Linked DNA regions of Notamacropus eugenii. The protein of the gene in region 4 interacts with the protein of the main gene of each other region in a pairwise test. Links are inferred from orthologs where the notes say so. Each region holds a gene or a part of one and is shown on either strand. Other genes may lie near its edges.

What was found.
Region 1: the proteins of TNIK (region 4) and MYT1L interact in a two-hybrid assay, tested with the Homo sapiens proteins (2 studies listed by IntAct). The link is inferred for Notamacropus eugenii from reciprocal best matches to the Homo sapiens genes TNIK and MYT1L.
Region 2: the proteins of TNIK (region 4) and PAFAH1B1 interact in a two-hybrid assay, tested with the Homo sapiens proteins (2 studies listed by BioGRID and IntAct). The link is inferred for Notamacropus eugenii from reciprocal best matches to the Homo sapiens genes TNIK and PAFAH1B1.
Region 3: the proteins of TNIK (region 4) and HARS1 interact in a two-hybrid assay, tested with the Homo sapiens proteins (2 studies listed by BioGRID and IntAct). The link is inferred for Notamacropus eugenii from reciprocal best matches to the Homo sapiens genes TNIK and HARS1.

Annotation. Positions count from the first base shown.
Region 1 is NC_092872.1:560,946,163-560,953,964, forward strand, and holds the start of MYT1L (myelin transcription factor 1-like protein), read left to right. Parts: upstream 1-4,801; 5' UTR 4,802-4,961; intron 4,962-7,802. UniProt on the Homo sapiens protein: Transcription factor that plays a key role in neuronal differentiation by specifically repressing expression of non-neuronal genes during neuron differentiation.
Region 2 is NC_092873.1:40,605,144-40,612,752, forward strand, and holds the start of PAFAH1B1 (platelet-activating factor acetylhydrolase IB subunit beta), read left to right. Parts: upstream 1-4,604; 5' UTR 4,605-4,692; exon of another isoform or gene 4,693-4,697; coding exon of another isoform or gene 4,698-5,301; exon of another isoform or gene 5,302-5,464; intron 5,465-5,551; exon of another isoform or gene 5,552-5,768; intron 5,769-5,777; coding exon of another isoform or gene 5,778-6,208; intron 6,209-7,609. Other genes in the region: uncharacterized protein, read right to left, coding at 4,698-5,301, 5,778-6,208. UniProt on the Homo sapiens protein: Regulatory subunit (beta subunit) of the cytosolic type I platelet-activating factor (PAF) acetylhydrolase (PAF-AH (I)), an enzyme that catalyzes the hydrolyze of the acetyl group at the sn-2 position of PAF and its analogs and participates in PAF inactivation.
Region 3 is NC_092872.1:368,091,572-368,098,670, forward strand, and holds the start of HARS1 (histidine--tRNA ligase, cytoplasmic), read right to left. Parts: upstream 3,002-7,099; 5' UTR 2,907-3,001; coding exon of another isoform or gene 2,817-2,906; 5' UTR 2,752-2,816; coding exon 2,566-2,751; intron 2,440-2,565; coding exon 2,350-2,439; intron 1,390-2,349; coding exon 1,270-1,389; intron 853-1,269; coding exon 757-852; intron 1-756. Other genes in the region: histidine--tRNA ligase, mitochondrial-like, read left to right, coding at 3,293-3,436, 5,676-5,750, 6,197-6,316, 6,427-6,522, 6,932-7,057. UniProt on the Homo sapiens protein: Catalyzes the ATP-dependent ligation of histidine to the 3'-end of its cognate tRNA, via the formation of an aminoacyl-adenylate intermediate (His-AMP). Plays a role in axon guidance.
Region 4 is NC_092877.1:352,749,553-352,756,877, reverse strand, and holds the start of TNIK (TRAF2 and NCK-interacting protein kinase), read right to left. Parts: upstream 3,001-7,325; 5' UTR 2,781-3,000; coding exon 2,724-2,780; intron 1-2,723. UniProt on the Homo sapiens protein: Serine/threonine kinase that acts as an essential activator of the Wnt signaling pathway. Recruited to promoters of Wnt target genes and required to activate their expression. May act by phosphorylating TCF4/TCF7L2.

The DNA.
Region 1 (7,802 bases), on a different chromosome or scaffold from region 4:
CATACATATATATGTATGTGTGTATATATGTATGTGTATATATATGTATGTATAATATATATCTCAAGACCTGCCCTATGAAGTCCACAGCACAGGTAATATTAACCTCATTTTACAGGTAACAAAATTGAGACATAGAGAATCTTGCTCCAGTTCCTCCAGGTGGAGTCCACATAGTGCAACTGAAAGAATAATGGTTTTGAACCTAGAACCCTGGGTCTACTTCTTGTACCTTTGTGACTTTCCACTTACTTCCTCCACTGTCAAGTAGGGGTGCTGGCCTAGACAATATCTAAATTTTGTGATCTCAAATTATTTGAACCCAGGCCTTCTAACTCAGAGTTTATTCCCCCTTTCTTATTATTCCATCCTGAATTTCATGATGTCTCCATAAAATATGTGAAAGATATGAGTCACACACACACACACACACACACACACACACACACTTTTTATAAATGGGAAACTGGAATTCTCTCAGTGAATTGGGACTCTAAAATCCATGTCTTACAATTCCAGCACAGTTGAGTTTCTAGTGAGTTTGGTCAATACCAACAGGCAATGAAAGACCTAGAGAGAAGCATCTATCAGTCACCAGGCTCAGTTTGAAGTGACCTCAGAGGCCATCTACTCAACCTCTCCATTTTACAGATGAGGACAATGAGGCTTTGGGATGTAGCATCATAGGCAGGATCTAAAGCCAAGTCGTCTGACTTCAAAGCCAGGGCTCTTTCCACTGTACCAAACTGCCCCCTGTAAGTCAGAAATACAAAGTACAAAATCCCTCACAAAAAAATAAAAAAATAAAAAAGCTCCCTTAAAGAGGAAAAAAAATTTAAGAGATGATAAAAGTTTAAGGAATCAAATTCCTCCAGCTTTCAAACGTATAGACTCACAAGAGATGGTGAAAAGAATGAGTCTTGGCACTAGAAAGCCCATACTGAGTTCTCTCTCTGCCACTTACTGGAAAGATGAAGTTCAGTATTTCACTTAATCACCTTATGCCTTAGCTTTACTAACTGAAGCAATTAGAAAAATAGTTGTTGGCTATGAGGTCATAACCTTGGTGGGAGTCTCAAGTGATATAACATGTGAAAAAACACTTTGTAAATATGAATGTGCCAAATAAATATGAGCTATTAGTAAGCCAAGCTAAAGTCTACACAGCTGTATCCTAGAACCAGTAGTGAGAATGAACCCACTGGAGATTTAGGGGGTCAGATTCTTCAGTATGAGGTTTTGTAACATAATGGATTCCCCTAAAGTTTCAGGTAATTTTTTTTTGCTCAAAGTTGTGCTGCTTGCAGTTATCCCAGAAATATTTGTATGAAAACATAGTAGCAGCAAAAAAAGGAATTTACAGCAAAATCCTTAATAACTTGTCTGAAAGCCTTCAACATATCAGCAGAGGGATAAAGGGAGCATTGGCCTACTCAACCAAAGCTAGGAACTCATGAGTTCTTGAAATTTCCCTGAAACATTTTGTGCCCTATTTAATCCAACAGTATAGAACCTGGAACTAAAAATCTTGAGTTGAAATTACAACTCTGAGGTTTACCAGCCATGTATTGGGCTTTGGACAAGGTATTATGATACAATAAGCATCAAGAAAATGGACTTGGAGTCAGAGGACCTGTGTCCAAAGGCCTGCCTTAAGTTTGATCTTAGATAAGTCATGTGACTTTTCTAGGCCTTAGTTTTTTGATCCGTAGCAAGGAGATAATAATGCTTATACTACCTATTTAAGTCCTAAAGAATTTAGCTAAAGTGTCACACTAACAACTTATTATTTAAGCATTTAAACATTATTTAATATGTTACTTACACAATGCCACATTTAATCTGTAATCTGGTCATATAACTAATTAACCTTTACACCTAGTCCTTTAATGTTTCAGGACTGCTTCCCTCATCATAGCAGCCCTTTGTGATAAGGTGACGCAAGTATTGTTATTCTCATTTTATAGATGGAGAAACTGAGATTCACATAAATAGTAAATATAAAAAACCAAAATTCTGAGCTCTAGGTTCAGTGTTCTTTCCACAGGACCACACTGATTTCCAGACATCTCAGTGGTTTCCCTTCCCATGAATTGTGGAGCCAAAATCACAGCATCATTTTAGGTAATTTGTCATAAAATAAACGAAGGTCACTTTTTACAGACCACCAACACTGATGCACACCTTCCCCTACTCTACCATCTATTTCAGGTGTCCTATCACCTAGTCTGCTCTCACAAAAGTCTGTGTCCTCCCTCATAGTATCTCCCATCATAACTGAAATTTCCCAGGGCATTGTGGAAGCAATGATATGGCCAGCGGTATATTTTTAGTTTGGAGTTAGAGTTGTGGATAGAACTGTGATTTCATTAGTGGTAAGAATTGCCAGCGAGAAAACTCCCTCTACCAATGGAAGATCATTGTCTGTTCTGTAATTTCTGTAATGGCCTGGGCCCTTGAGAGGTTTAGTAACCTGCTCTGGATCACATATCTAATACGGGTTCAAAGGCAGGGCATGAGCCTCGTTCTTCCTAAATGTGAAGGCTGCTGTCTCCATCTGTTCTGACACAGTGCCTCTCCAGGTTGGTTTGTGAAGGAAGAATGATGTCAGGGAAAGAAAAAATATGCTCCTTGAGGGCAGGGACCACGTCCTAGATAACCTTTACAGCCCCTCCCTGTCCAAATCCATGTTTGTTGTTAATACTGGTAGTATGATCATAGGCAAGGTAATTCATCTCTCTGAGAGCGTCTTTCCATTTTCAAAATGAGGATAATAATAACTGCTCTTTATAGTGCCTCTAAAATGTGAGCTATTCTAATCATTATCTCTACCCCATATCCCATGACTTTGAGGGTAAAACAAAAAATCAATTAATAATATAGTCTATAACAAGGTATTAATGTGACCTTTGCAGTGACCTTCTTGAGTCCCACCTAACTTGGTTAAAGCATTTGTGACTGAAGGTGCTAATAAACAGGGAAGGATCTGGGCGGGGGGAAGCCTGGCATGCTTTTTCAGCAGCCTTCAAATTACTTTGAGTATGCAACTTCATGCATAACCATTTATGTATGGAAGATCTCCTCTACCGTCAGAGCCTTGTCTGATTCTAAAGCTACTACAGGAAGGAAGGAAGGAAATGAGCATTTATTGCAAGTCTACCATGAGCCAGCTGTGCTGTGGGAAGCTAGGTGATAAAATGGATAGAGTGTTGGGCCTGAAGTCAGAAAGACTCATCTTCCTAAATCTAAATCTGACCCCAGACACTTACTGCTGTGTGGTCCTGGGCAAGTCACTTAACCCTGTTTGCCTCAGTTTGCTTATCTATACAATGAGCTGGAGAAGGAAATGGCAAACCACTCCAGTGTCTTTGCCAAGAAAACCCTAAATGAGGCCATGGAGAATTGGTCACAACTGAAAATGACTCAACAACAATAAACAGCAGCTGTGTGTCAGGCACTATGCTAAGCACTTTACAAAAAACATTTTTTGATCTTCCTAACAATCTTTGGAAGTAGATGCTATTACTTCCATTTTCCCATTGAGGAAACTAAGGCAAATGGAGGTTGAATAACATGCCCAGGGTTCCAGAACTAGTAAGTGTTTGAGACCAGATTTAAATTCAGCTCTTCCTGACTACAGGCTCAGAACTCTGTACGCTTAACTATCTCTCTCTAGCATACAAGCACTGTAAGCACCAGTCTAGGCTGTTCCTAGGAAGGAAGACTAAAAGCTAACCTAGGAGGTTAACACTGGTTCCCCTGACCCAATTTTGTAGAGAGTTCATTTCCAGGACCCCTGGAATTTCTTATCAGCTTGTGGGTTAAACATCCCAGATAGAGGCAGGAATCTCAGAACTCTTTTGAGCAGATTAAAATCATTCATGGCCAGTAGAACTAACCATCATTTGATAGGTCCTCTTAATCACTTGATGCAAATAGACAGCACTAATCTCCCTAGGGAAAGGAGTTGCTGAATTTATCCCAGTGTAGACCATCCTGCAAAACCACAGTAGCAGGGTCTTTACTTGGGAAATCCAAAGATTTACTGTGTAGTTCCTAATCACAGGGCAATAGGACTTACATTTGGAAAGGACATTGGAGATTATCTATTCCAGTTGTCATCAACCAAAGGACAAAGAAAGGAACATGTTAGTGATTAAAAGCTGTTGCAAAGAATCAGTAAATCCATAAACACACTAAGCATTTTACTTCCTATTTTTATTTAGCTTCAATAAAATATATAGAAATTCAGTATAACAAATGAATAAAAATAGTTTTTTGTAAGCTTAATAAACATCATATATACATATACAATTTTTCATATCATTAATGTTAATTAAAATACAAATTAATTTTAAAGTACTATGGAATTCAGAAGAGTTTTTGTTATTATATATTTTTAAATCAGTGTAGTACTCTGTGAAATGTTTTGACATTAGCAGAGTATCATAATTGAAAAATTTTGGAATCACTGATGTAATTCAACCTCCTCATTGTACACTTAAGGAAAGTGAGTCCCAGAAATAGTATGTCGTATACAAAAGTTCTATAGCTAATAAGCAGAAAATTTGAACTGATATCCTCTGATTCCAAAACCACTGTCTTTTTACTTTACTGTGTTGCCTACAAAGCTTAGGAGATCTTAGAAACGTAAGTAAGAATATTTCTACGCCTAATGGCAGTTGGTGGGCTATAGAGCCTGCTAGTTAACAGATTTAGAGACAATGATATTAATATTCTATTCCTATTTATACTCAAGTAAACTAAAGAGATGCTATATGTTGTTTTCCATGTTTTACAGATGGATAAACTGAGGCACAGGGAGATTAAGTGACTCCCCCACGGTCATACAGCCGGAGAGGACTAGGATTAGACCTCAGAGCTCCTGATCCCCAGACCTGTGTCTTTCCCATTGAGCCACCACGCTGCCTCCCTACCTAAGAGAAAATACTTTCTGTAAGGTAAATGGTGGTCTCTTCTTTATGTTTGGACATATGGAGTGCCTGAAAACATACACACACACACACACACACACACACACACACACATATATATATATATACATAGTAAAGTAATATGACCTATAAGTGCATACTCAGTTCTAAGTAACAGAAGTAGGAGTTTTTACCTTTTTTTCCTATTTGTTTCCAAATAAGGTCTGGTTTGGGTGATTTTTAAAATATTTGTAACTTATCATTTGAGCCAGTGAACATTCAATTTTTCTGAAACAGACTTGAAGGCCAAATAAAACTTACCTCACTAAATCCATAATCCTCTGATTCCAAGAAAAGCTCTACCTTCTTATTTAACTTCTAACCTATGAGTTAGAAGGGGAGCTTTGTCACCTCAGGGAAAAAAAGGTACAGTCACTGGAGGCAGCATATGGTGTAATAACAAAAGGTCCAGAGGATGCAGGTTTAAATCCTTGTTATGCTACTTAACTTGGAACTTTGGACTATTCACTTAACATTTCTGAACATCAGAGATTTTGACTATCTAAACAATTATGGTCATGATACATGTGTTACAGAAACAAAGAAGACATAATAAACAGGGAAACATTTAAATATGAAAAATAAGCAGGTATATTTGTGTGCATGGGTGGCCAGAGTTATACACAGGTGTGCATATGAAGCAACACATAAAGAAAGTTAGGAATCACCTAATCCAATCTCCTCACTTTACAAGGATGAAACTGAGGCAGAGAGGGAAGTAATTTGTCCATGGTTTCATAGATAGTAAGTGACAGAGCCAGGGGAGGAACCCAGCTCCCTGATCCCCATCCTTTGCTGTATGAACTATGCTATGCTGAGAATCAATCTCCTCTACACAAATTCAACCATCTTCAAGAAAGAGATAGGTGGGGGGCTGGAGGGGCAGGGGGAACATTAATGGTATGGTATAGAGTGGTACTAAAGCAGCCAGACAAAATTCTAAATAGAACATCTGCTTGCTGCTCTGTCCTTTCCCTTCGCCAGCATATAGGGAAACAGTTCCTGATCTGGTCAATCATGAAACCTTTCAACATTGTGATCCTGTCGCCTGCCTCCTCCTTCTGTGACCTACTCTCAACCTCAATTCTCCCCCATTCCTCAGCTCAGAAAGCACCTCTGTCATCAGACCTTTCATGCTCCCATATTTATTAGCTTCTCCCCACCACCATCAATTCCTCTGTATTTATTTTGTATATGTGCACATACTATCTCTCTCTATAGAATATAAACTCCCTAAGGGAAGGAATTGTTTCATATATATCTTAGTATAAAAGCACAGTGCTAGGCACCTGGGATTTAATAAATTCTTGTTTCTTAATTGATCAAAATGAAAAAAGAATCTGATATCAATTATTTACCCTTTGCAGATAACTGACTTATTATACCTTGGTCTTGAACTCATTCACACTGTTATACTATCCCTACTATCATTCACATTTTAATTTTCCTATGTAAGAGAATAGTGGGGAAATATAGAGAGCTAGAGGAGTCCATGAAATCATCCTAGGTATATTCAGAAGCTGGAGGTATTGAAAACACAGTCTTCCTGCTCCCTTATAGGAGATATGTTGGAATGGGCCAGTTTTTTCTCCTGCAGGCCTAAAAGAGCTGCAGAAAATAGTAAATGGCTTTGAAGGAGTTGTATAGCTAAGGATCGATAAATAGTAGAGTTCAGCAAACACTGTCATTAGCAACCAGCAGTCAAATCCAGGGGAAAGCAGAAATACATATCCACAGGACTATTTCTTCCCATGGGAAGAAGAACCCATGACCTTCTGTCACTTTCTTCAAGTTCCTGCTGCCAACCTGGCCCTCACATCCAGCTGTCAGCAGTCCCCTTCCCTGTCACCATGGTCCTCTTCCCAGCCTAATGACATTTCCCAACTGATAAATCAAAGCATAGAATCACAGAACTTTCAGGGCAGGAAAGGATATTAAGGATCATCTAATTCCTCATTTCTAGTCCAAATTTCCTTATGAGGCCCAGGGAGGAAGAAAGATTCCTCCAAGGGAGTAGCAAGTTGTTGTCAAAAGACCACTGAATTTGCAAATAGATGATCTGGTTTTGAATAATATTCCTGCTACTTACAGTCAATAATCCATTGGGCAAGTCACTTCCTTCTCCCGGGCTTCATGTCCTTTTCTGTTAAGTGAGAGAGTTGAATGAAATGGTCTCTACAGTCCCTTTCAGTTCTAAAATCTAAGTTTACATGGCTAGCAAATAGAGAAGGCAGGACTGGAATTCAGGTCTTCTGACTCTTTTTAAGCCCTGCCCTCCCCTTCTTTTGTCCTTCAATGGGAGTTGTTTCCTGGTACATTTGACTTGGTTATTTTTAGTTAATGTCGAATTATCTTTTTGTACCACAACTTAGTTTTACCTGATATACAGGAATGCATTCCTCAGTTTCTTATATTATTTCTTCCTCTGAGAACAACCTTGTCCCTCTAGGCCTTAATTTCCTCCTCTGTAAAAATAGAGACGTAGGCTCCTGGAGTTAATAGGAAGCCACTGGAATTAATAAACTAGCAGGGATGTGACATGATGAGAATCATGTTTTAAGAAAATCACTTTAGTGGCTAAGTGGAAAATGAATTGGAGTGAGGAGAGACTTGAAGTAGGCAGGTCCAGCAGAAGGCTAATGCAGAAATCAAGGCATAAGGTAATGAGGATCTGCACTAGAGTGGTAGCAGTCAGAAGAGAGAAGGGGGCGTGTTTGAGAGATGTTGCCAAGGTGAAGCCAACAGACCTTGGCAGCAGCTCAGATATGGGGAGTGAGAGAAAGTGAGTCTAGGATGACTCACTCTTAG
Region 2 (7,609 bases), on a different chromosome or scaffold from region 4:
AAGAAGAAAGGATAAAAGGCCAGGGACTGGATCTATGATTTTACTGGTGTAGAGAACTCTTGGATAAGGAAATTCTACAAATGCAAGTCCATGCCTTTTCTGCATCCTATAGTCTAGTCTTAAGGGTGTTGGCTAGAGCACTGAGAGAAGTTTACTTGCCCAGGGACACACAGCTAGTATGTTTAACAGGCAGGACTTGTACTTGGCTCTCTGGCTCCCAGGCCAGCTTTCTTCTCAGGAAACTTCCTTCTCTCACACATATTGTTTTTTAATTGCATTATAGCGTTCCACTTCATTGCTACACATCTGCTTTGATGGCTCTAGGATCTCATTAATGTAGATAGTCTATTGATAGACATCATAACCATATATGCCTTTTCAGTCAAAACCACAAATGAGATCTACTCAATGGTCTCCTTTGTAGCATAGTAGTTTCTGGCACTTAAGTCAATCTGTTATTCCTCACCTTTGCTATATGACTTCCCTTTCTGGCCATACATGCCCTTGATATCTTCTCTGCCACTTTTTGGATATGGCATGTACTATGAGAAGATACCATTCAGCCATTCCCAGCTCTTGGATATTTAGGTGTTTTCCCTATTGGATTTTTATTTTTTTGGTAATGACAATGGTAATGCTGCCATAGATATCTTTGAAAAGATTACCTTTTCCCCATCTTTATTTTTCCATAACCACAATTTTGGGGGCAAACTTCAATATCTGAATTATTAGGGTTGTTTTAAAACCTCTCCTATGCCATCAGTTTTTCCTAAAAGATTTTTTTAAACCAATGTGCAATTCCACAAGCAATGTACGTGATCACTCACAACCCTATCCATATTGAATCATCACTGTTATTTTTGCCAATTTGTGGGAAAATTACTTTAATTTATATTTTTGTTAATAGAGATGAATATTTTTTCTATTTTTAAAATATGCCCTTTTAGAAATAATTTTATATTCTTGATCCTTTTATTTGCTGAAGAGGGAAAACTCTTGAATATCTGCATCATGACATTCTTTATGATTTATGTGTTTTTAAATGATGTTTTGACTCCATTGAGTCCTTAAAATTCCTTTCACGGGAAATATTAAAATTCAAAAATCTAAACATCATGATATATATTTTCAAGTTGAATTTTTCTCTTTTAATTTCCTTTGAATTGCTTTGTGTTCTATTTTTATGACACATCAGAGTGCTATGATTCTCAAGGGAAGAGTGGCTGGTCTGGCTGGACCTGACATAAGGGAGAAGCAGCCATCTCTATTAATTGGTCTAAATATGTTGAAGATGAATGAATCTCTCTTGCAAATGTGTCCTTTACCATTAGAATGGCCACAACACTCCTTATACCCTCTTTATATTTGAAAACAAAGTTTTGTCCATTTTCTACTGATTTTATTAAATGTAAATATACCATTATATACATATATACTCCTATAAATAATACAGGATAATTTAATTCTGGGGAGGAAATCATTTCAAATTTGTGCAACTGGGCCTTTCCTCACTGATGACAGATTTTGCTCAGGGAAACATTTCTGAAAATGTTTTGTCCCAGTATAATTTTTAAAAATTGTTTCCACTAATCACTTTATTTGCTATTTCCATAAGTCTTTGAACATACATTAATTTTTCTGTAGCAACTGCAACAAAGGTTTCAATTTTGGAAGTGTCTGCTGGCAATATAAATGCTTGCAACCTAAGTGGATTGGTGAGCTGTTAGATTGTAGCAAATAAAGTGGGTCTTTCTCCTTAATGCTTCCCCAAACCCCTAAAATCCAGGACGTCTGCTCCTTTCTCCTTCCCCAAGATACATATAGTAGCTGTTATTGTATTAAGTCTTTCCACATTTTAATTTACGGACATATACAGATGTCCCTTAAATCTTCATACTCAACAGGAGAGGAGATTGCATTAGGAAGCATCCATCATCTTATTCATCATGACAAAAAGTGCCCACAAGCATCTGATAAACCCACAATACAAACAGTAGCACATATGCTGATACACAAAGGTCCCTCAATTATTTTTTAAATTGAGTTTCTGAATTCACAAACCAAAAAGGGGACTGACAGTTTGAATTCTTCCCCTTCAATGGAATTCTTTAAAATTCTTTTAAAAGGGGCATTCTGAAAATGAAATTGTCTCTTAGTTTAGGTCATAATTGCCCAGTACCAATTTTATTACTTCTAACCACAGGATAAGGATATGGTTTGGGTCTAATAAAACAGGTTAGATTGGCTGGCTAACTCTAGTTATCCTTATTCAATTAGAAACATAATTATTTATTTATACTAATTCTGTGATCTTTCAAGAGAAAATTGTTGAGTTTTAGAGCAAGTATTTAAAAAATAAAGTAGATCCGATTTACTCAGCTGTTTAAATATTAAACAGCTTGGCATTGGGCAATGATAAATATTTTAAAAGGTTAAAATGAAAGAAAGGATGGGCTTTTAGAGCAAAGGATATGTTAATTTACAGAAATCCTTATTGACTCATATTGAGTCCATCGGTAACAATGTCAAGTAGGGTCTGGAATTTCACTGAATTGCTTTGTCAAGCTGTACTGATAGAGAATTTGAGAATTACAGAATTGGATTGGTCCTTTCAGAGATCATCTACCCCTCTGAAGTGTATGGGGTGTTCAGGAAGGCTTAGCACCTCTGGTAGGAAGGCTTCTCAAGCTCTTTTCGGAACTGCTCATCCACCTTTGGTGTCCACTTTTCACCCATCTCTCACTCGTGGCTCCAAGAAGGTATGGCATGCACATCATCCACACCCTGGTAAATCTGTTTTGGCAGACAGGCTAAACCAGGTGGAGGCCTCAAACCTGTACTTAGAGTTACTGGGGATGTCTAGCCCCCTACCCTCAAACACAATGGACAGCTTAGAGCTTGGTTAGATATTGAAGATTCCAAGGTCATCTACTTTATCCTAGGCCATCACCAGTCATCCTGACTTTTGTCCTGCCACTGGACTTGGATGACTCTGGAAGAGAGGCTGAGGTTGATGACTTTGCACAACTCTACCCCACTTAAATCCAATCTATGTGCAAGTCAACACATCACCCTGTGATATCATTGGTCCTCTTCAAAAACAAAAACAACAAAGGAAGAACAACAGTCCTCTGGTTAAAGATAGGTGAAATTGTGGCAACCCAGATGTGCTTGGCGCTGGAGTTGGTGAAAAGATTTAAAAAAAAAAAATCAAACAAAGGATGTTTGCCCTCTGGGAGTTTCTAATCCAGTACTATCCAGGACAGATGATCTCCTTTTGAATATTTGAGGGGACAGAAAACACTCAGGGACTAGGACCTTAATTAAATAATCCCATTCAACAAACTAAAATTCACCAACAAGTTATTAACTATCTACTATGGGTGAGGCATTGTATACATAAAGAAAAAATAACTGCTGTTTTCACATGTTCCTGGATTTCTATGGGAACTGATAGAAGAATACATTCAAATTCAAGCCTGAAGGAGGAAGGTTTCACCCATCTTTCCAAGGATCCTATCAACCAGGGATGAAATTTCTGGCTCAAAGTCCAACTTTTAACGAAATACCCTTTAATCGTGGGAATTTGCCAAATCTTGCCATTAGTATCTCAAGAATGAATCTCAGATATGATTTCCTTAGCACCAACTAAAGAAAAGCTGCCTAGAACAAGTTAGTTGGATATTCTAGAGGATCCCCTCTGTCACCAATGTTTCACCACAAAAATAACCAAAATGAAAGGATGTGACATAACTCACCTGACAACTGCTTACACTTATATGATATCTGAAGATATGCAAAACATTTTCATGCTGTTTCAATCCAGAAAGGAGGCCAGGAGAAATCGAAGCAGTGACAGCGGGGGAAAAAAGGAGTATTTTCTCTGGGCCTGAATGTTTCTCTGGGCTCACAAATTAGAGTCAGTAAGAGTCGGGTCCTTAGCTTTCTGCTTTAAGTCCAGAAGGTCACCCCAACCTCCCAAGCCCAGTGACTTCATTCCCTTTTTCTTTTTTTCAAACAGAGAAAGGGCAGGAGACAAAACTAAGAAGAGGGAAGCCTTGGCATCGCAGAAGTCAGGCCTTGAGCTCTGAGTGATACCTGGCTGGAGGGGATGCCAAGGCTACAGCCAGTACAATCTCAGCTTTACTGAAACTGTCTTCCTCAGATCGCACATTTCACTGTAGGCTACGTGTGCCTCAGTTTCTCTGCCTGGCTCAGCTCTCTGTTGGCGCTCACATGGCTGGTAGAAGAGGCCGCAGAAGTGCTGGTTAGCCTTGGATGTGTCTGCTGATTCCCTTACTGTACAAAGCTTTGGGCAAACATCAAGGCTCTCATTTGCAGTATCTCTGGCCTCTGTTTTGGGGGCTGAAACGGGAATCGGACGGGAAGCGCTTTGGAATCTCCAAGGCGCAGTCTAGACGTCAGTAAGAGGCAGCATGGCAAGGGCCGCCAGGAGGGCGCTGGGTTCGAGTGCTCCCCCCCGGGAGGCCCCCCCCACCCCCGGGCTCATCGCTGACCTGCGGGCGCAGGTGCTGACCTGCCCTGGCGGAGAGCGCCCCCCCACCTCCCTCCGCCAATGAGATGACGGGTCTCTGCGGTCCGGCCCCCTCAACGTCGGTTATTCCGCGGGGTGTCCCCCGCACTACGGAGACCATTACGTAAAGCGCTCTGCAGAGCTACGAGCCGGTCACGGTCAGTCAAGATGATGGCCAGGTGGGGGAGGGGGGAGCCTCTGAGGGCCCCGGGCCCCGAGGCTGCGACTGCAGCGGCTCCGGCCCAGCTCTCGGCCCGAGGGCTGAGGGCGGGACTGGGAGGGGCCGCGGAGGGCCGGCTTCCATTCGGTGACGCGCAAACCGGGAAGCGCGTCGAGCCGGGGTGACGGCAGCTCCCCTCAAGCCGGCCCTACGCATGCGCCGTGGGCTCCTCCTTCCCCTCCCTCCTCGGCCGGTCTGGGGCGGCGGCGGCGCGGTGACGTCAGGGCGCTGGGGCAGCTCCTGTGACAGACCGAGCCGGAGCGGCGGGGCGGGGGCGGCGGGGGCGGCAGCGGCGGTAGTAGAACCGAGGAGGTGGGAGGGGAAAGGAAAGCGAACAGGCCGACGACAAGAACGGACGAGCCGAGGGAAGGCAAAGAGGCTGAAAGGAGGGGGGAGCGCGTGCGAGCGACAGAGCCGGGCCGGAGCGGGAGCCAAGGCCGCGAGCGCCGGCCGGACTGCGGCGCGAGCCCCCGAACGGCCGAGGAGCCGCGCGCGCGCGCCCGCTCCCCTCCCCCCCACGCCCGCCAGCCCGCCCCGGGCCCGGGCCCTGCGCGCCAGCCCCCCTCCTCCCCTCCCTCCCTTCCCTCCTCCCTCCCTTCTCCCTTCCCCTCCCTCCTCCCTCCCCTCCTCCCCTCCCCCGCCGGTGGATGGGAGTGAAGGACGGAAGAGGCCACACCGAGGCGGCGGCGGCGGCGGCGGCGGGCTCTCGGGTAAGGCGGCGGCCGGGGCCTGCCCTCGGGCTCGTTTCTTTCTCCCCCTCCCCCTCCCCTCGTCCTCGGGCGGCGCCGGCGCAGGCTGTGGCCGGGGCTCGGGTTGGGGCTAGGGCTCCGCGGGCGATGTGGCTGCGCCGGTCCCCTCCCTCCTCTTCCCCCTCCTTCTCCTCTTCCTCCTCTCTCCTCCTCTTCTCCAGCCTCCCTCCCTGGCTGCCCTCTCCCTCCCTCCTGCTCCCCTCCCCCCGCCGCCTCCTCCTTCTTCTCTCCTCGCTCTCAAAATGGCGGCCGCGGCGGCCGTTGGGTGAGAGACCCGGGAGGGGCGGGAGGGGGCGGCCGGGGCCCGGCGGCTGGGGGAGGGGGCGAAGGGGGCGGCCCCGCCCGCGCCGCGGAGGGAAGGAAAAGATGCTCCCCCTCGGTGACTTTGCAGGAAAATGCAGGAAAACTGGGGGGGGGGGGAAGAGGAGGAAGGCTCGGGGAACAGGTTTCTGGTCCCCGGGCCCCCGAGGGGAGGGGTTCGCCCCGGCCCGAGGCCCCCGGCCCCGCGCTACCGCGCCGCTCCAGGCCTCCCGGGCCGTGCGGACGGTGGTCTCCCAGCCCCCCCCCCCCCCCAGCGGCAGCCTGCGACCGGATTGGGCGAGGTGCTTGTTCTACCTGGTGGGGCCCCCTCCCTGAAACTGGGGGGGCTGAAATGGTGGTGGCCCTCAGGGCCGGCGTCCTCTGCCATTCGGGGACATAAAGCATCTCTGTGTGACTACTCCCCACCCCCCATCCCCCCACCCCCGGCCCTCCCAGGTGAGAAGCGGGCCCTAAGGGCCGCAGGTCAGGTTGTGGTGGGGACTAGAAGAGCATCCCTGGAACGTGAAGCCCACCCGGAGGGCTGCTGCCCCGTCGGTGCCGGGGGAGGCGGCCGAAGGTGTCTTTGCTTTATCAGGGACTCGGTCATTCCTTAGTGACTTGGCAAGAAACTCGTTGGGAGGAGGGTAGGAAATTTTCCTTTGGAGCTGGGGGGTGGGCAGCCAGTTTAGAATCTGGTAGGGGAAGAGATTTGTGCTTTGGGGGAAAAGGGCCTGGTTTGTGTTTTCTCGTTTAAGGAGAGGAGATGTAAATACCAAGAGTTCCTCCTCCCCTTTATTCTAAAGAGGTGATAAGGAGAGAATGAAGATATTTTTGTAATTTTGATCTTCATATACATAAAGTAAATCTTTGCCGTCAGAATGATGGAAAGATTAAGTATAAAATAACTGCAGGGTTTTTTTTATTATATTCTTGTTTGGGGGTGGGGTTGTTTTGTGCATTTCCTTTTGAGGCGAGGGCGGAGGAGACCGTACTTGGGCCTTTGATACCAATAATAATGTCATTCCTCTCCTTTTGCTATGGTAGCGTTGGGGTAAAATTTTTCTACTGCAGCAGGGCTTGGTTGTTGCAGGTCAAATCCTTTATCAAGAGAACAACCCTTTTTGGTTGCAGTAGGGAATGAAATAAGGTTGATTCCGCATTGAAAGCTTTCTTTGACCTTTTATTTTAACCAATCTTTGTGACTGAAGCATACTAATTAGGTTTTTAATCCTTAATGAGTGATATTATTACAGTTTGTCATTTCACAAATAGGGGACATGTAAATCTCAGTTATTGAATCTGTGTATTTGGGTTGGTTAATTTATTAAAATCATCCTTCAATATTTAGGATATCAAAGAAGGGAGTAAGTAGCCCACAAAAAATGATTTGAAGCTGAGCATGATGTCAAATAAAGCACTGTTTTGAAAAATTCATCAAATACATGCTTGAACAGTGGAGTTCTAATTTCTGAACGTCCCTCGATTTTTAAATCCCCCTCCCCTTGGAAGAAAAAAAACTGGATAATATTTGCGGATGCTGCGTACAACCTTTGAGAAGACTGGGTGGAGTAAGGAAGCTGAGCAATGGCTAGGTTGCCCTTTCATTGCATTTTTTTTCTTGTTTTTTGTTGGGCTGTCTTAATACTAATTGCAGCAATAATTATATTTCTGCATAGTAAACCTAATAGCAGAAGGGACTTTGTTAAATAATCTGATGCTCTTGGTTTCTGTCATTTTTGTAGAGTCCAGGGAGAAGTGATCAGTCACTATTCTAAAGCAGGGACTTACTGCTTGGTTGTATATTTT
Region 3 (7,099 bases), on a different chromosome or scaffold from region 4:
CAGAGTTTACTTTCCTCTGGGCAGAACACAGAGGAGAGGAGAGCAGAGGAGCTGCTACTCACTCAAGGTTTGTGTTTGTCCTTCGTTCTCGAAGAGTACCATGTCATCAAGATGATGACATAATAAAAAAAAAATCAAACTGGGAGGGGAAGACCCTCAGGATTCCTAAGAAAAAGAGTAACAATTACAATTACACCAGAAGAAGCTATCTGAAAACAAAGTGGCCACACTCTCCCCAGGCTCCTTGTGCAATTGGATTACCCTAGCAAGAGTTATCGGAACCTTGGAATACTCAAAGGGACGACACCTGACACTGCAGAAATACTAATATGGAAGAAACCCTGCACTATGCTTAGTGCCCACCGGACCCATATTATGACTGCTTTTCTGGAACAATTAAAACAGAACATCATTCTTTACTGAAGATCTACTCAATGGTCTAAACAGTCTTCAAGACAGGCAAAGAATGGTTTTCCAGAATCAGGCAATTTATAATGGATTCAGATGTGAGCCCTGGCACTATATTAAGTTCTTGAATGGTCTTCCTAGGGGTGGGCCCAGCTAATTAGAATTTGCATCTCTGTTTTAGAGAGGGACTTCATCTAACTCGTTCTCCAACTGATTCTTTGGATCACTTATTCAAGAATTTCTTCTTATCCATGTCCAATGTTCTCTGAATCTGAGGATTCCATCACCTCCTGTCAATTAAAGTCCAGTCTAAACGACAGCATCCTAGAGCTCACTTTGAAAGGATACGGTGAGGTCATAACGAAGAGCCAACAGCTCACCACCCTGATCTTTTAGGTCATAGATGAGCTTAGAGTCCTCCCCATACTTTCCAGTTAGTGTTTCCTGGAAGGAAAAGATGAAAATATATGATTATTTCATTGGCTGTGCCTAACCCTGGATAAAGATGCCTAATTGCATATCCCTAATAACATAAGAGGTGCAAACAATCAACTGCCCTGTAGGGTGTTCTGTTGGAGGACTTCAAGAATATTTATGGTTGCAACTACCCCCCAATAAAAACATCAATCCAAAACAGGAACCACAGCCACAGAAATCAATGTGGGAAAATTATGTTGGTTCCTACTTTTAAACATCAATCAAGTTCCTGTACATCAGGAATAGGGCTGGGCTTGTCTACACCCATCTTAATAGTTGATCCCTCATGACTATATCCCATTGGTATCTAATCGACTTGTGTATCTGCTCTACATTCCTCCCCATCTCTTTGCCAAACGCTTCTCCCTTGGCCTTGGCCCTCACCTTCAATTCAAACACAGGGGTATCTATTACTTCGGCACCATGGCGCTTGAAGCAGCTGATGATCACATCAAAAACCTTCTCTCGAACAGCCATCTGCTTAGGGCTGTAATCCCTGGTGCCCTAGTAGTCAAAATAATCAAAGGAGAAAAAAAGCAAGCAAACAAGCAACTCAGTAATAAGAAAGCGGGAGGAGTTGGTATTTCAGAAGTATTCCATTTATAATCTCAATTATAATGGAACAGAATTGCATTTAATTTCCTTTTAACCACCAAGCCAAATCTGCATGGACTGAAGGGGGTTAGGTAGGATAGCTATCATCTAAATAAAAGAAGGCTTTTAACTTCTGGCATTAGAGTTGTGCTTGGAGAGGGATATTTGGTTGGTTGATTTTTAAGTTAACTGTCTTAATATAAAAAATTTTTTAAAATTGATTAACTATGGAATCCCTAAAGATAATCTACATTTTATTTCTATAACAACTAATTGGGAAGTGTGGGGAAAAAAAAAGCAGATATTTCAACAGACAAGAGTTGCTGCTGTTCTTAAGAATCTGCAGTAGTGTTATTTCTCCCAAAGGTTGAGATGACTAAAATCCTGCCTATCTTGACAAAAACAGAACGCACAGGTACAACTCAATTCCAGCTGAATGCCCAAAAGTGTCTGTTTTCCGAAACACGCTAAACACTTCTTCCTCCCAAGAGAAAGCCATGTTTTTAAGTCTGTAGTGGCACCGTGACTAGACCTCTCCTCTTGAACTTATTTAATTTTCTTTTGGGGCTTCTGTCACTAAATTTTTGAAGGTAGGGTCTAATTGAAGGTAGGGTCTAAATATTGCCACCTTTGTATCTTCGGTATCTATTAGTGTCTTGAACTTGTTAAAGTGAACTGACCACACACTCATGTGTGTGTGTATGTGAGAGATGTTGGTCTTCTCTAGTGGGAGCCGAGAGGGAGAAAGAAAGGATTTGGAACTCAAAATATAACCAAGAAAAAAACACAATATATAAAAATAAACCGAACTGACAATGCAGTGAGGCTCATCAAACACCCTCGGAAAGGCTTCTCTAAAAACACATTTACCTTTGGAGTTTTAAGCACAAACTTCTGTTTCCCTTCATCAGGGCCCAGCTCTGCCTTCAACTTCAGGAGCTTGGAAACCTCCTCCTCGATCTGCGAAGGAAAGGCCTCAATAAACACGGGAGTTTGGAAGGATGTGGTCCCTAGCCGGGGCCCTCCTCCAGGCCTCTGACTCAGAGCAAGCTGTGAGACCGTAGGCCAGTCACTTTCCCTCCATACCTCCGTTTCCTCATCTATACAATGGGATTCAAAGCACCGGCAGTCTCCCAGGCGCTGTGACGCTAAAGCCAAAGAAAGAACGTGGAGCTCCTCAAAGGATCGGAACGAGGCCGGCGGGGGAGTCGCCTTCTGGACCCGAGTCTCGTCCCTGTCAAGGCCCTCGCCCAGCCCCTTTCCTCCTTCCATACCGGACCCCTGAGCCAGAGCTCCGTCCACCCCGGGCCCCGATCCGGCCCTCTCGGGGCCCTCACCAGCTCGGCGCCCGCCTTCTGCTGCTTGAGATTCCGCACTCTCTCGCCCTGGAGCCTCACAGCCTCCTCCAGCGCCGCTCGATCCGCCATCCTTGCAACGGCCGCGGCTGTCACTGACTGCGGCCCCAGAGCTCCGCCGGCGAACCGCGCCCAGAGGCAGCTTCCGGCCGGCGGGCGCCTGAACCGGAAGAGCGGAAGTCTGGAGGCCAGAGCGGCCCATCCCCTACCCTTTCCCACGAGACGCTCCGCTCTGGCAGCCTGCCTGCCCCTTGGCGGGTTTGATGCATGGGAACATCCGGCACCCTTTGCCTCAGTTTCCCCCTCCCTAACCTGGTGACCAGCCCGTTCTCACTCCCTGGACCCAGCCCAAGCGCCTTCTCTGCCCCAGTCCTCCCTCCCCCTTCCCCCCGTGTCCAGCCCTCTGCGGGTGTGCACGAACCCCAGAACCGCAGGAAGAGAAGCCCCCTCCCCGGGCCATGCAGCGCCTCGGACCCTGGTCTCGGGAGGCCTGGGCCGCACTGGCCCTCCAGTTGCTGCGACCTCCCCGCGCCCCCTGCGCCGGGGCCACGCTGCTTTTCCGCCGGGTGCAAGGAGGCTTGGGGCAGCCTCCAGCGCGGGAGGTACGTTCTGCCTTCCCCCCTTTCTCTCTGGGCGCTCCTTGGCTTCTCTACTGTCCCAGCTTATCGGTCGATATGGCCCCAGTTTGGGTTGGAAGGGAAGAACCGTCGGGGTCCCCGGCAGGCTCGCCAGCTGTTCCCGGCCTGATTCTACCCCTGTGTGGTTGAGCCCGCTCAAAGCAAGGACTCCAGCTTCTGAATGTGTACCCTACCTTATGAGTAGATTTAAAAACGCTTGATTTATTTTAAAGACCTTAGTTTCCTCTTCGGTAAAGCGAAGGTTTAAACTAAGTGGGCCCTCAGCGGCAGAGGGGTTGGTTGGGCAGAACTGCCTTTGGATCTGGAGCAAACGAACCGCGGTGCTTCGCCCCCTAGTGTTTGTGACGGAGCCCCACAGTCTGCGATGTCAATTTATCCCTTTATTTCAATACGTTTTGTTCAGACTCATGGTACAGAGAGCCTCGGGACTGTCAGCGGAATCATCCGTGGGAATCTTTGAAATCCTCACTTGAATGAAGACTTCACGCAAGTCTTGTTTGTCATATTATGGAGGGGATCCCTGTTTAGGTACAGGTTGAGATAATTGGCTTCTGAGGCCCTTTCTAGTACCGAATGAACACATACTAAATTCAAAACACTGGGCTAAGCACTGAGAATACAAATAGAAAAGCTGTGCAGTCCCTGTTCTCAAAAAGCTCACCCTCTAGTAGAGGAAACCACATATACAGAATGTTTTCATTGCAAATCAGATAGAAAGGTCCCATGGTCCTTGTGATGAAGGGCCAAAGCAGGTAATAATGGTTTCTTTGGAGATTTTATGGTCCTAAAATTTAGAAAGCTTAACCTCTCTAAATTTCTGTTTTCTCATTTTAAAAATAGGGATAATACTTGCACACTCCTTACTTTACAGGTGTCTGGAAAACACATTGCAGACGTTAAAGAATTATAGAAAAGTGAATTATTACTGTAATCATTGTTAGAGATGAATACATTGCTGCCCTGAGAAATTAAATGATTTAAATTAAATGATCAATCACCCAGTTATTAAATAGGACTATCTTGAGGTACCACTCTGTGTTTTCTCAGGTTTCCAAAAAGTCTTATTGTATAGCCTGCTATAATCTAGTATTTTTTCATTCAATTGCATTTTTTTACACATAGAGCCAAAAAAAATGATAGGGTTCCTTCCCTTGAAGAATTTACAGTCTAATATTGTGATGCAGAGAAAATTATGTTGAATTTGGATTCAGAGGACTTGAGTTTAAATCTGAATTGTCACTAATTCCTTGTATGACCTTGGGTAAGCTAAGTAAAACTTTCTAGAATTCAGTTTCCTTATCTGTATTTAAAATGAGTTAGATGGTCTTTAAGGTCCCTTCCAGCACCAAATCTTTCATCCTTTTCTTTGAGGGGGGTGGGGAGATGGAAGGGAATAAGCCTTTATATAGCACCTCCTATGTGCTAGGTAGGCACTATTCTAAACACTTTTTTACAAATATCTCATTTGATTCCCAGCATCCCTGAGAGGTAGGTGCTGTTATTATTCCTATCTTACATTTGAGGAAGCTGAGGCAAATAGATTGTGACTTTCCTAGGATGACACACAGCTAGTAAGTGCCTGAGTCCAGATTTGAACTCAAGTCTTATAGACTGTAAGCCCAGTGTTCTAGCCACTGGGCCACCAGCTGCCTCAGTAGAGGAGTTAATAATCTAAAGCTAACAAATAAAAATCTAATAAATTATTCTTGTATCATAATCTGGTTTATTTTTGTATCTTTATTTTAAAGCAACTTTCTGTAAGAACCCATCTAGATCCAAAGGGCCATAGCCCTTTTGTAGGGAGTCACCTTTCTGATCTGCCATTTTTATTACTATATTTTGAATGTAGAATTAGAGTCTTTTTAGGTTCTGGTCTTGCCATAAATTTATTTTTTTTGTAAGTTCTTGTTTGTTTCTGGGTCTTAAGTTTCCTTGGGTGTCAGTTAGCAAAAAGTCTTGAGTAGAATTGACTAGCTGAGTTTGACTGAATGAGAGTAAATCATGCTGTATGGTGGGATGGAGATATCAATACAATGAGAGCCACTGGGAAAAAGATCTGACTTCATTCAAAATCCTTTATGAACACAATTCGGGCACAAGTGTGGAGCCTGTAGGACTTTCTTCTTGTAACTGGAAGACTAGAAATTCTGGGGGTCAGAGATAAGTATCTCTTGCTTAGCGTGCCATAATCATTTCCTTTCAGTTTGCAGAGGCCAGGTTGAAGATTCAGTCGGAAATAGATAAAGAGAAATCCAATTTTGTTATCAAGACTCCCAAGGTAATCCTCTTCTCTCATCCTTTTTGGTCTCCTTTTCCAGTATCCTGGGTGCTTGGGAAGAGCAGTCTGCCCTTACCTGAGGTGGGACCTTGCAGTGAATTAGCGTATCATATGGTGGATAGATTGCACTTGGAGTCAGAAAGAGCTGGGTTGAATCCTACGTCAGTCATTTACTAACTATGTAACTTTTCTCAGGATACTTCACTTCTCAGTTTCTTCATTTGTAAAATGGGGATGATAGCAGTACTTACCTCATAGGGTTATTGTGAGAAGAGAGTGTGTAAAGTGCATTACAAACCTTAAAAGTGCTTTAAAAGTATAAACCATTGTTGTAAGGTCTATTCATCCTTCCCTGTTTCCTGCAGGGAAATTTCCTACAAATTTGTACAATTTGTTTTTAAACTTTTCACCTTCTTCCCTTTATTCTGGTTGCTTTTGGCTCATAGGGTACCAGAGATCTTAGCCCTCAACAGATGGCTATTCGAGAGAAAATCCTTAATGCTATCATCAGCTGCTTCAAGCGCCATGGAGCTAAAGGGCTAGACACTCCAGCATTTGAACTAAAGGTGACAGAAAGAAAAAGCGGGGGAGGGAGGAGTAGTATTGAAATTCTTCCTTTCTTAGCCTCCAGTATCCCAAACCATATTTTTTAAGCTATAGATTTGTGTTTGTCCAGGAAGTGCTAACAGAGAAGTATGGAGAGGACTCCAGACTCATCTATGACCTGAAGGATCAGGGTGGGGAGCTCCTGGCTCTTCGATATGACCTCACAGTATCCTTCTAAGAACTGTTTTACTTTATCCCAGACTGTCCTTTCCCAAGTCAAGGGAGGGAATTGTAGATGTCATAGTCATATCTGGAGCTCTGATTTCTGTTTTATGTTAGATGGCTCAAGGAAGCATGTCCACAGTAAAGTAAGGACTGAAGGTAATGGTGAAAATCAGGCTTTCAAACTTAAATAATCTGGGAGAATTAAGGATTGAGGTGCATAGGAAGGAAGGATCCCAGGGGTCTTAAACCACTTAGATCCTTGTTTCCCTTTCCCTGAATTTTCAGTTTGACAAGATGATGTTGGAATCTACTGCAGAGATAGGAATTTCTCTAGTATCTGATTTGTGTAGATGCAGTTGGTTACCAGTTCTGGAAGGGAGAGTGCTTTTTCCTTAATCATTTCTTGTGAGGTCCCTTTTGCTCGTTACTTGGCCATGAATAAGATAAAGAAGATGAAACGCTATCACATTGGGAAGGTGTGGCGACGGGAGAGTCCCTCCATAACCCAAGGTCGATACCGGGAGTTCTGCCAATGTGTGAGTGACTGGGTCAGTGGACAGTGAGGAGGGAGTTCTCTG
Region 4 (7,325 bases):
ATGTCATTCGGTCTTTCTGTCCCTCTTCCTCACCAACAGTTTTCTCTGTTGACCCCAGAGGAATAATCCTAGTTTGGGGGCAACTTGGCATCCTGCCTGGGCTTAAGTTGTGTCTCTCATGGACTCCTCCCTAACCAGGCCTCCTTCCTCCCAGTTCTCCTCCTTGATGCTTTGCCATTGCCATCTTTCTCCCACCCTTACCTGGCAGTATGCCAGAGAAGGAACACAGAGCAGCGAGCCTCAGGCTTGCTGGTCAGTTTCAGTACAGGATACAAACCAGGTATTCTGAAACACACAGGCAAGAAAGTGAAACACACAGGAAAGAAGAATGTGACTAGAGACAGCATCAAACCAGCCCTACCCACTGGTCATGGATGCTTGCAAGGTAGCTCTGTATTCCTTCAGATTCAACTGTACAAAACCTTCCATGGGAACCAACAGAAAGGCATGCATCCCCCTCAACTTGAAATTCTCTCCAAAGGGAACTGCTTGGGATCACTATCCTAGAGGAAATGGCATTTGTGGTTTCCATTGTTCCAGTCCCTGATGCCCAATTCCCATTTTCTCTGCACCTTGAACTGCTATGCAGCCACCACTCACTCTCCTACAGCCACACTACTCAAGGGTGCAGAAAGTAGGACATAGGAATAGCTGCATTTTTTAAAGAAAAAAACCCTCAGGATAAAAGCTACTCACTCACAACCTCAGAGCTCCTTAGCTGTGCCAAGATGGTCACCAGGGATTGTCCCTTTTGAATGTGGCAATCAGTGCCAGGGCAAGGATTCCCAAAACCTTCTTGTGTTAAAAGGTGAATGAGCTTCACCCACTCCCCCACACCCCACCCCAAGTCTGAATGGTCATATCTCTGCAAATGTTATGCCTACTCCTTCAGACGTCTACCTGTCAGTAACTGCCCCCCTCCTCTCCCCTCCCTTAGACCAAAAGAATCAGAAGGGAAAGTTAGGGGTGGTGGAGGAGGGAGAGGAAGGGGGTGGGGGGGCGAGAGAGAGAGAGAGAGAGAGATATGATTCAAGTGAGTGGTTATTCCAAAAAAATGTGCCAAGATTTTCTCCATCACAGTAATAGCTCTCTAAAATATATGAAAAGAGAGGGAGTTTAATTCGGGCTCTGAAAGCGATAAAGAAATAACACCCCCCTCAAAAAATAGATTTGGCATCCCTTGGGCACCAGGTTTTATCCCTCGCCAGGGAGAACATATAGGTATTTGGGATTCTGTACCTGCCCATTCAGTTTCTCCGACCCTGGACACATCAAACACAGGGAAATGCTATTTTTGTAGTATGCAAAGCTAATGAGCATTTCTTAAATCGGCCCCCAATGTTCTCCTCCTTCTGCTCTGAAGTCCTCCACCCCCATCCAGTTTTCCAGTAGGCAGGGTTTCATTAAAATGGCAAGAAAATAAAGCCCCTTAGCTTCAAGTGTTGGGGTGTGGGGGAGGGAGAGAAAAAAGAAAACATCCTGCCAGCATCGGGGTTTCTGATATTTGGCTGTTAAAAACCACCCGGCGGCAACAAAATGGATTCTATCTTAGGGATGTCTTGGTCAATACAGAGAATCGGCATCTGAGTGAGTTTCCCAAAAAGGTGAATTGGCCTGATAGCAGGTCACACACACACACACACACACACACACACACACACACACACACACACACACACACACTCGAAGATCTGGATCTTCCCTTTTGCTTGTCACAAAACTGAAATATCAATGGACTCAGATCAGCAGCCTGAGCTAAGGCGGAGTTAAAGGCATAAATAAAGGTGACTGGGTGGGGGTGGGGGGCAAGCAAGCCCCTAAGAGCTCCCTAAAGGAAGCCAGACAGGGAGTGAGGCTGGGAGGGCGAGGAGACGGGAAATGTTTGTATGGACAAGTCTGGCATAGCCGTCCTAGAAGCCTGGAAGCCGTTCGGGGCCACCTTCCCTTCCCGGTGACACCCGGAACTCAAGGAGGTCTCGGTTCTAATGTCAGGCTGCAGGTAGAAAGACACCCTAGGAAAACTGGGAGCTGGAGCGGATTGATCAGGACCCTGGTCCTGATACGGTCTGCCAAATTCAGAAGGTTCAGCAGCCCCCTGGCAGACTGCCTCTGAGAGGGCGAAGCCTTTTTGAACACTGATTACTATTGTATTCTTGCCCAAGGGGAATAGCTCTGAGCCTTCCATCGTTTGCCCGATGCCCGCCAGGAGTGGGCATCCGGGAGCAGGTGGCTGCCAGTGGCCCTTACTCAGAGAAACGGAATGGCGAACTGGGTGTTGTACACACAGCCCCGTGCGAAAGGTAAACGGCGGCGTGAGCTGCTCCTACACACACACACACACACACACACACACACACACACACACACACACACACACACACACACCAACCACACCATACCACACCACACCACACCCCCGGGCATCTCCCTTTCCAAGCATCAGTCCCCACCACCAAAGGCAACCCAGTCTGTCTATCCACCCATCCGTCCGTTCCGGCACGCATCCATCTCCAGCCTGGAGGCAAGTGACTCTAGAGCAGCTCCCAATGCAAACAGCCCCCAGCAGGTCCCTCTAAAGCCCCGAGCCCACAACCGTCTCCTCCATGCGCCGCTCGCGCCCCCACCCCCAGCCGCGGTCCACGAAGGATGGATGCCTCCAGATCGTGGGATGCAGCCGCCCGGGGAGGAGAAAGAAGGCAGGCGCCGAGAGCGCCCAAGCTCACCCTCAGAGCCGAGAGATCGATCTCGTCCAGGCTGCGAGCCGGGGAGTCGCTCGCCATGTTGGCTCCTTTGCCGGGCAAACCGAGCCCCGGGTGCCCTGGCAGTCCCCTGAATTGCCTCCTAGTTCTAGGGGCTGGCCGCCCTCATGCGGGCGGGGGTCGTGCCCCCCAGCAACCTTCCGCAGCAGTCCAAGCAGCAGCCGCCGCGGAGAGCGAGGGACCGAGGTCTGGCCGCCAGGCAGTCCGCCTCGGCCAGGCAGCAGCAGCAGCAGCAGCAGAAGGAGGAGGAGGAGGAGGAGGGGAAAGGGGAGGAGGGCGAGGAGGAGGAGGCACGAGTGGGCTGCTGCTGGTGCTGAGAGCGGCCCAGGCGGCAGCGCAGCGCTGCTAAGGGAGTCGAGGCTGCGTGGGTGTATTTAAATGGGACATGCTTTTCTGCTGGTGCGTGGATGGCCGCTGCATTGGCTGTTATAATGAGACACTTCAACTCCTCCACTCAGATGGGGGGAAGAGCGCCGCACACAAGTGTCTATCACAGCTTCCTGGGAGGAGTAAAAAAAAGAGTGGAGGGGGGTGGGAGGAAGGGGGAGAGAGAGAGAGAGAGAGAGAGAGGGAGGGAGAGGGAGGGAGGGAGGGAGGGAGGGAGAGGGAGGGAGGGAGGGAGGGAGAGAGAGAGAGAGAGAGAGAGAGAGAGAGAGAGAGAGAGAGAGAGAGAGAGAGAGAGAGAGAGAGAGAGAGAGAGAGAGAGAGAGAGAGGCGTGGCCTCCACCGGCTCAATAGACCCAGCTTTTCCTGACCCAGTCTCTTGCACCAGCCCTTCTTGGGGACTGGAGAGGCAGAGAGGAGGACATCTCACCTCTTTCCACCACCACCACCTCCACGTCCCCGGCACGTTCGCCTGTTTTGGGGCTGGAGCTGCTACAACGTGCCTGAGCATACAGCGAACCCGCGGGGGTGGGGGCTGTCAGAGAAAAGGGAAGAAATTCTATCGCTGCGGAGCTGGGGGTGGCGGTGTTGGGGGGGAACGTTGCAGCAAAAAAAGACAGATTCTTCACCAGGGATCGAATTGTGCCTTCGCCTTCTACGTCGGGGTCCACATCCCGATGGTTTTAAGAAATTATGATAATAAATAAAGGCCATTATCCCCCAACCCCACTGTTGTTTGCAGTCTGGAGTAGCCTGGCCCGCCGCGGCAGCCAGTGCATATAAGGACTGATGGAGCAGTGGGGAGGGCACCGGGGTGAGATCGGCCTCCAGCAGTGGGCCGCACACGTCCGGCACAGGAAAAAAAAAGAAAGAAAGAAAGAAAGAAAGAAAAGAAGGAGCAATAGCGTAGGCAACCGCGGCGCCCAGGCCACTTACTAGGGCAAAGCTGAAATTTGCATAAGCAACAGGATGGGGGTCAGCTCCCTACCCCTAGCCCCTTATTCACGGTCACTCGTGCATCTTGCCAAAGCTGAGAAAGGATGTGGGGGTGGAAGGGTGATGAGCCCTAGAATGGAAATTGCCACCCACCTCCCCACTTTCCCCACCCTCTGGGCCTCCAATGCCTGCAGTTCCCCGGGGGAAATGCCCGGTACTAGGGAGAACTCTCCTTTCCAACTGACGATCCAGGCGCCAGGTACCTGTGACAGCAGCGGCTGATTAGTGCTTCTAACCTGGATTTAAATTTTTGTCCGCGTTTCATTGCTGACCTACACAGATGGAGAGCGAAAGTTTGCCTGCCAGGAAGCACGCAACATACAAGGTGTAGGAGGGAGACTGAGTGTGTTTTTTTGCCAATTTCTCATCTGCATCCAAAATATTTACAGCGCTGCGCTGCTATACTGTGGGGCGGTTTGTGAAGCCACTTCCCCTTAACCCCCAGCCCCCAGCGCTGCTTCCCCTACGGCCCTGGGCACACGAAAATGGAATGTTGGTTCCAAATAGAATTGTGAATTTTCAAATTGTTCCATTCTCCTTTGTTAGAAACAATCTCACTCGAGCCAAGTGCTCTGAATGGCTTTGCTTGTACATAAGATAGAATACCAGCTTCAGAGTAAAGCTTTTGAATGAGCAAGTGAGTGAATGAAAAAAAAGGTCTGGGCAGTAGCTTAAATGTTTGCAATTTATTCATGGCATTCTAAAATGATTTTCAGCACCCACTGTACTGTGTTTAATGTTGGTATTTATAAAGACTAATAGAAATGATAATGCACCCTGAATTTTGAAAGATTGATCCACCAGCTCGCTTGCCACCAAAATTCACATGACTGAGTTTTGCCTTTAAGCCTGGTACCTGTTATTAATACTAATAGTAACTTATAGTTAGATGACATTCTTTACAAAGAGCTTCCACATATATTATCTCTACCCACAGTACCAAGAGTCCTGGGAGTTAGGTAAGTACAGTAAGATCATAGAATCAGATCTAGGACTGATAGGGACCTGAGAGGTCACTGAAGCCAAATTGCTGGTTTTACAGATGAGGTATCTGAGGTATAGGAAGACTAAGCAATTTTTCCAAGGTAACAAAGCTAGGAAGTGGAGGAATTGGGACTGATAACAAATCCATCCTTCTCTCCATTTTTTCCTAAAGATTTAGTTCAACAAATGTGTATTAAATGTCTTTTGTGTGTCAGACTCTCTGATAGATTTGAAAACAAAAATGAAAGCATTCCCTACCCTGAAGGGGCTTAGAATCCAGTAGGGGAAGAATGATAGAGGATTTGGTGAGAATTGAGGTGTAATCACTTGCCAAAGGTCACATCGCTAGCAGCTCAGTTCTAGAACCCAGAGCTTCAGACAAGTCCAAAGTATTTTCTGCTTGGAGAAAGATCTTCAAATTTGGAATTGGGGGACTTTAGAAGGAATTCCAAAGAAACTTGCTGGGAACAATATCTACAGTAAAGTATTTTGGGGGGAGGGGAGGATCCCTCAGTTTCTTGTCTGTAAAATCTGGGAGTTAGACAACCTGACCACCAATGTTCCTTTGACCTCTACATCTATATCTTTTTTTCTAAGCTATTTCCCCACATATTTATGTCACATGCAACAGCTCTCAGTGATGTCAGAAAGAGGTAGGCAATTGTCTTTCCTTCCTTATTCTCTCCCATGTCAATTTCCTATCTAGATCTAATTTAAGGTTAAAATATCAGTGTCTATTTTGGAGAAAATAACATCACAAATTGAAGGGGCAGGGGTTCAAACAGAATTATTTTATATGGTATTTGTAATTTGTATTAAAAGGAGGAACAATGACCAATTTGCTTGAATCAGTAGCATATTTTTCCATTCCTAATTTTATTTGGAATATAACAAAACACAATAGCCCTCACCAAAAAGGAGAGAACAAATCACTTCATTTAGAATTGAAATAACCCCTTTAGGCACCCAGGTTAGTATATCAAAAATTATGGCTCTGGAAGGCACTAAATCATATTTTTATTAATGGCAGAAATTTGGGGGCCCTCTAAATAAGAGGACCAAGCTCAATCGACTTATATTTACACTTCAGAACCCTGGGAAAAAAGAATGCCCATTTCACCCAGTCCATTCAGGGTCCATTGATATATATTATCTTATACCTAGTCTGTGAGGTCTGCAACCTCAGTGAGGTCATTCTGCCTCATCCTATCCCCAAAGCAAGTATTTGCCAAGCCTTGTCCTTTCTGCCTCCATAATCCTCTCCAATCCAATTTATTTATTAAGGACCCACAAAAAGAACTGGACAAGGTGCAAAGGATAGAAAGACAAAAATTTAAAACAAAAAACAAACATACAACCTGTTTCTAAGGACCTGCATGTTGTCTCCCTGCCCCTAGCAATTAGAGGGGGAGCTTCTTGAGGGCAGGGACCACGTTTTTGCCATTCTTTACATCTCCAGAGTTTAGCACAGTGCCTTAGGACTTAGAAGGCTTCAAAATCATACCTTGATTCCTTCCTCCCTTCTTAGTACCATTTAATGTGTTACCTTCCCCCATTAGAGCATAAGTCCCTTGAGCGCAGGCACCAATGTTTTTGGTTTGTATTTGTGGCCTCACACTTAGCACAGAGTAATACCTCACTACCTAATAGTTAGTTGATTGAATACTGGGAGGATACATGTAAACATGAGGATATGTGTTTTTTATTTGGACTTGATGCATAATTGCTTTGGTATAGGGATCTCCCAGGAGGAAATTTTCTCTTCCAATGCAGATCAACCCTTGCCCTGAGTCTCCTTCTCTGGGTCTTGAGAAGTGTCCTGACTTTCCAAGAAGCACATAGCCACTGGGGAGGGCACAGGGGTGGGATCAGTCTCCAAGCAGTGTGCCACACACTTCCCAACCTTGACAACAGCTGCTTCTCTAAACACATACACACATGTAAAATATACACATATACATATATGAATATGCATATACATATATGAATGTATGTGACTATTTGCACATGTCTAATGGGCCATTAGGTGGTGCCATAGTGCACAGAACACTAGGCCTGGGATAAGGAAGACTCATATTCCTGAGTTCAAATCCAACCACAGACACTTACTAGCTGTGTGAACTCATTTGGGTTTTCTTGACAAAGATACTAGTGTGGTTTTCCATGTCCTTCTTTACCTCATTTTACAAGTGAGGAAACTGA